Drosophila melanogaster: one gene and its partner. The protein of the gene in region 2 interacts with the protein of the main gene of each other region in a pairwise test. Each region holds a gene or a part of one and is shown on either strand. Other genes may lie near its edges.

The links. The genes of interacting proteins can lie anywhere in the genome.
Region 1: the proteins of CG34173 (region 2) and CG17580 interact in a two-hybrid assay, tested with the Drosophila melanogaster proteins (one large-scale study listed by BioGRID).

The regions. Positions count from the first base shown.
Region 1 is NT_033778.4:12,804,754-12,808,358, reverse strand, and holds CG17580 (uncharacterized protein), read right to left. Parts: upstream 1,746-3,605; 5' UTR 1,662-1,745; coding exon 1,440-1,661; 3' UTR 1,325-1,439; intron 1,270-1,324; 3' UTR 1,130-1,269; intron 1,073-1,129; 3' UTR 548-1,072; downstream 1-547.
Region 2 is NT_033779.5:22,053,299-22,056,031, forward strand, and holds CG34173 (uncharacterized protein), read right to left. Parts: upstream 1,005-2,733; 5' UTR 874-1,004; intron 820-873; 5' UTR 815-819; coding exon 677-814; 3' UTR 536-676; downstream 1-535.

The DNA of each region.
Region 1 (3,605 bases), on a different chromosome or scaffold from region 2:
CGTAAAATACAGAGCAAGCATTAAGATATTATTTGTGGGCTAGGTCTATTCAGTCGATGTCGAGTGCAATTATTTGCAGAATATTTAGTTCAGGGCAGGGTGCTCTTCACATTCAAAATATTCAGTCAGCCAGCCAGTGCCTTCGGGATATATTGTGCTGTATAATTTATCTAAACAGCACATTCCCGTCCGAAAATTTAAAGCCACAAAGTGTCAGACTTGACTTGCTGCGGCTGCTGCTGGCAATAAATCTTAAAGTTCATTAAAAAGTTTATTTATATTTCACCTGCTGTGTGCGAACGAAAGAAGTCTGGCAAGTGTCAAAGAAATAAAAGCTCGAATTGCCGACAAATCTTTGTTAAGCTTGACCTTGACTGATGGCCCCTCTCATAAGAAGTCGTTTTAAGATAAACCCCCAACGCACCGAAATAAATAACTTTTGTCTCGTTTAGTAGAAGCAATCAACTTCCTAAGCTGGTAATTTAAATAAAATGTGTCGTCATAAGTGTGCAATTTTAGTTTATTTATTAAAATTAGAGTTTTAATTCAAATTGTTATTTTAATTACAGCAATAGCATAAATATGTGAAATAAAAATCGTTGTACACTTTTATCAATGAATGCCATTCTCCACTTCGTTAATTAACACCAAAATAAATAGGGCCAGTGAATAATCGTAGGATTTTTTATATGCAACCCAAAATATGTGCATTCACTAGCTTCATTCAACTAAAAAGTGTTTCGCCATTGAAGAGTCAACCAGAACGCCATCAAAAGGAAGCGCTCCAATAAGTTTGAATAGCATCACAAATACACACGTCTACATGCACAAATGTATCTGCATGTGTTGCTGGAGATTGCGCGGCTTCGGCCTTGCTTTTGTAATTGTTAACAATAAAGGAGGCGGTCTAGTGTGGGGTGGGTTGTTTCATCCGGCTTTAATTAAGATCCAGCTGCTAGAATTCATGTATGACAAGTATTGGACTGCACGTAAGTTGATAGTGATATAACCAAGCTTAGCATATCACAATTCAAACAGGAGAACAGACAAATGAATAACTTTACATATGAATCTGCGAAAAGATAAGCTGGTTTATACTGCAAGGCAAATGAAAAATAATATTACAAACCCAATATTAATTATCTTCACCAACTCTGTGGAGTATATATAAAACAAACAGGCAAATGTAGACTGCGATGATAAAAAGTAAAAAGATCAAACTGATGTTTCGACAAGAAAACATAACTGGTGTATAAGTTTTAATTAAATCTAATTTGGGAAATAATTTTAAATAGTTTTCTTTAATATCTGCTGGCATACTTACTCTCGCTAAATGTAGAACAATTGCTTTCGCAGGCCAAGCTGCTTCAAATTAGTTGAAGTTCAATGGGTAATGAATTCCGCCATTTCCGTGGAAGTTTCTATATCGCCAGGAGCACTCAATCGCAACGGACGTCGTAGGAGGAGCACTCACCGAAGTCCGACTTGAGGGTGAAGTACATGCCCACACCGATGCCGATGACCATGATGAGGACTCCCAGCCAGTAGACCAGGCGCCAGAAGGGCCATGACGATGGTGGCTTCTTCTGGGGTCGGTCGGATCTCACCTCCTCCTCGTCAACTTCAACTCTTTGTGGTTGGCGGCGCAGCTTGTTTCCCATTTCCCTGGGCCTTTAACTTTCTGTACGAATTTGCTTCCCTTGGGCGATAATTGATTGGATTTTCCCTGGCAACTCGACAGCAACCGAATGATAACATTTTATTGAAATTACTTGAGCATCTCGTAGGCTGAGATTCATCTCCGATGGCGAAAACTTCTGGCTAATTATTTAAGTTAATTGGCCTTTGTCCGCAAAAGGCCTGCCCAAGCCATGATGATGATGATGGGGTGGTTAGCATTGGCCTGAAATATTTGCTCGGAGGCCACAAAATGTCTCGCAAATTTGTTCAAATTACTTGGAACACAAAACAAGAGTCGTCCGCCACTCCTCGAGATCCTTGCAGGCCCAAGTCCGTGCATAAATTTCAGAACAGGAGGTCCTGGGTGGAATACAAAAGGACTTTGTTTGCGGTCGAGAGATGAAAAGTCATTTCTCTCCATTATTTGCCAACTAATTGGTTGGTAGGACTTGTGCATTTATGTTGCTCAAATGTTTGCCCAAAGAATTCTGGAATTTGGTGAGGTGTCAAGTGGGTCTACCATCACCCTGACCTTTTGCCGTATCAATTAAATGGCCAGCTGGTCAACTGGCCAAATTGAGCAAATGAAGGATGCAACTTAATAATGGCATTCTCGTATATGCGCATATGTATGTACATATAATGCCACTTAAGCATGCCGTAGATCTCATTCTTGCCATGATTTAAGTGCATTTCGATCGGCTTTTCCAGCTTTTCCCCGTGGCTGTATCCTTTGGAGTGCTGGCGATGCCATTACTGCTTCAATTTCAGTTTCTGTTTGATGTTAATGAAAGTTTCCGTCGTGCAAATAAAGCCAAAAGCATGGAAATCAGTAAAACAAATTGCAATCTGCTTTTTATCGCACGTCGCTGCATGACTGCTGGCAGCCGGCATTTTCCTTGCTCCGTCATCGATTGCCTGGCTTTCCCCTCGACTTTTCCCTTTGCTGCTGGCCCGCCCGGCTATTGACTTGCTCATTATGGCCCTGATGATGACTGCTCTCTTGCCACAGCTACCGTTCGTTCGTGTATAGTATCTGTGTGCTTTGGTTCCGTTTCGTTTCGTTTTCAATTTTACTGCAAAAAAGGCATAGATCTCCTCATTCCGCACCCGCATTGGGGGTCGGCAATCAGGGCGGCATAAATTGTTAATATATCTTAACGGATATTCAATTTCCGTCAACCAAGAAATGCATTAAATTGGTAACAAAGCTTAGCCGCTACAACCGAACGATGGCAAAATTGTTAAGCTCCAGCGGGGTATTATTAAAAATTCAAAGTCGTTAGAGAATGGCAAAACTTTGTGCAGTCCGGGCCAAGACATAATAATAATATAGAGCCGGAGTGGAAGGACTGAAAAATAAAGAATGGCCAGGACAATGGGGAGACAACAGGCAAACTATGAACTGGGAAACTGAAAAACTGTGAGAGTGGGAAACTGGGAAACTGCAAGACTGCGAAGCTGAGATGCCGAGAAGCTCAACTATGCCCAACTTGGCTGTCCGACTGTTTATTTTCACTAGACTTCCTCTTTCCCTGGGCTTCGGCCTTATTACGCTTGGCGGCCCATCATCTGCATGGCCTTGGGGTGGGCGGTGGTGGCGATAAGTGGGCGGTGCAGATGGCAGGACGAGCAGGCAAGTTGTCAACTAAGTTTGCAACAATAATCGCCAACTTCACAGGACCTCGAATGACAGAGCTGAGGCAGCAGCAGCAGCAGCTTTCAGATAAAAACCAGAAAACAATAAGACTTTAGGCCGACTTTTATTCAGTCTTGCAAAGTTCTCCACCTCTGGCACTGCAGCGTTTACCCTCGAAAAAGCAAAGGTCCTCAAAAGGAGCAAACAGCAGCAAATAGGCTGTGCTGGCAAGGATCTCTTCAGACTTTCGAGACGTGGCACAAAGGAAAGATTGCTTTTGCTTTTT
Region 2 (2,733 bases):
CGCAAGTTTGTCGACCCAGTTTGTCACGCCCACTCTAACGGCCTAAACACGCCAAAAACTGCCACGCCCACATTTTTAGGCAATTTTTAATTTTTTTCTCATTTTATTCCCCAATATCTATATCGATATCCCAGAAAAATGATGAAATTCGCGTTAGCACTTCCACTACCTGAGTAACTGATATCTGATAGTAGACGAACTTGACTTGAGATCGGTATACTCTCTTGTTTTAATTTGGGCAATCCGACCTAGAAATGACCGCCTGTTCTTATGAACTCCGAATTTTCGGTAACTTCAAAGGCTATCCGGTTGAGATTAAGCATGCAGACTGAAGTGGCGGCGCCCCAAGTTCACTTTAAAAGATCGTCACGTCCATAGAAACACCCCCAAACTGAGCAAATTTTCTGAAAATGTTTTGTTGTTTTTTATTATTATTTCTTATACCAATTTCACTTAATATGCTAAGCATATTTTCGGACACATTCTGTTAAAAATTTGTTATTGCTAAAAAAATGTATTTACAAGTCGATGATCTCAATTTTAGCGACATATTTTTTTGTTTTTATTTTTAATATAACACCTAATTGTTATTAGTTTATATTTAAATATTTTTAATATATATATTCGGCTTTATCTCAGTCAAAACGGAAGTACACAATCGCATCCTTGGTCTTGACTACGATAATTTCCTCACTATTATCGGAATAAAGCGGATAAGGGCACAGGTGACAGCGAACACTAATATATTAGCACGGACCTCATCTTTGGAGCGCTCCTCAATTCTAATCGGCTCAATGGACAGTGTGCGAAACATCTTGACTGCAGATGTACGCAGAGCTTTAGTTGCTATTTATCACCGTTTAACATACTTACATAGATTGCTTAACTAATTTAGAAGATTTTGTCTTTCTTCACTTATGTGTTGTGGTTGGGTAACCTATTCAAACGATTTAAATATAGAACATAGGCGGGAAAAAATCAGATTATTGACACAATCTCTGATAGATTATTCAATGACAGTCTGAGTGTTCTGGCGAAAAACTAAAGTTGTTTAGCTTATAGTACACATTATTTTTTGATTTTTTTCACCATTATGAGAGAATTTTGAGAAAAAGGACCTCAAAGTTGCAAAATAAAAAGTAGCAAATACCTAGGGCAATATTAACGTTATTCGTTAATCAATTACTGTTTGCGTGTTTTTTCGACTTTTGAAATCTACCCGGAGTCTGAAAGAACTAAATCTCACAGAAATTTTTTTGCAAGTTCTCCTTAAAGATTTCTTTAACTTTTGCGGAAAAGCCTGCGGAGCGCTTTCAGCCATTTGACCTAGGGATCCCCGCAGATGTTAAAGAAACACTAAACTTCTTTAATGCTCTTTACTTGGATGGATTATCGTTGTCATTGACAGCAGAATTGGCAAGGCCTTGCCTAAAAAGAGATCCTGTTCCTTGTTCTCCTTTGTAACTCAACGTTACGTAATACGTATCCAGATTTTTTTATATCAATGAACCTTGGCGAGTCATAACGACGGATAAGCTTCCATTACTTTCTATACATTATTTAAGGGAATATGTCTTAGTAGAGATATGGAGTAAAAAGCGAACAGGATGATAATTCCGACCGCCAGTTTGGTTTTAGGCACCACAGGATTTCCTGGACGTTCAGGAAGCTTTCATCCGTGGTTTGCCTGATGGCTTTCTTTATAAGTAACTGCTTATTTATAAATAGCTTAAAATTGGCCACAGCAGTTTCTTTTTTAAGGGAACACCATTCCATAATCACCACAGGCGCAGTATTTGGGTCTGATCCTGGACAAGCGGCTCGCCTGGAACAGATTACAATGAAAATCGCAGCTTTATGTCGGGCTAACTTAACTGGCTGCTTAAGCCAACTAGTAACCTTAACCATGGTGTAGACAAAAAGGACTTATACGTTTCCAAGCTCCTAAATCAGTCATAGCTTTTATTCTCATTCAATTAAAAATATTATATGTGGAATGATACGTTCTAATAAATATTCTTTAAATAAATTTAGAAATATTAAGTTGTATTGCACGTTAAGTGAAGTTAAGTCACGCTTTAAAAACTTAATGCATAAATAGATTGTGTGTTTGTATTGTTAGTAAAAATATCTGCGTATTTCGCTCAAATTGAACAAGTTCACATTTTTGTAAAAATAATAAACAAACAATAATCAAATATAAATACTCTTTTTGTTTCTGAAGCCTTCTTTTGTCTCCCGACCACAAAGCATCAAAGCGGTTTATCGGTTGCAATGCCGATGGAAACGCTGGACTGGGCCTAAGTCAAATACCGTGTTGTGGGCCCATTAGTCCGAGCAGATTCCGGTGCACATTATTTCTGGCCACGGCACGTGTTTGAACCGCAAACAGATTCATTTTTGCAGTACCGAGTCTCGTCCGATGAGGACAACGAAATATGAGTAGGCGGCTGCTACTAAGGGCAGTTTGCGCATTCCAAGTCTCGGTCCAGGATCCGTTGCTGGAGCTGGAGCCGGAGGCGGTGCCGGAGGAGCACTGCAATTCGTCCTCGGGGTCTTTTTGGTGTTAATAATAAATAAACGGACCGGCCGTGCAGCAGGAGTCCTGCCCGTGTTTTGGACACACTGTAGCGGATTTTAATGGACGAATGCGAGTGCAGCGGCGGAGTGGAGCTAAAACCCATAAGCCATACCCGGAGCACACCTTTTCCCAGGTGCATGTGTGACACCCGA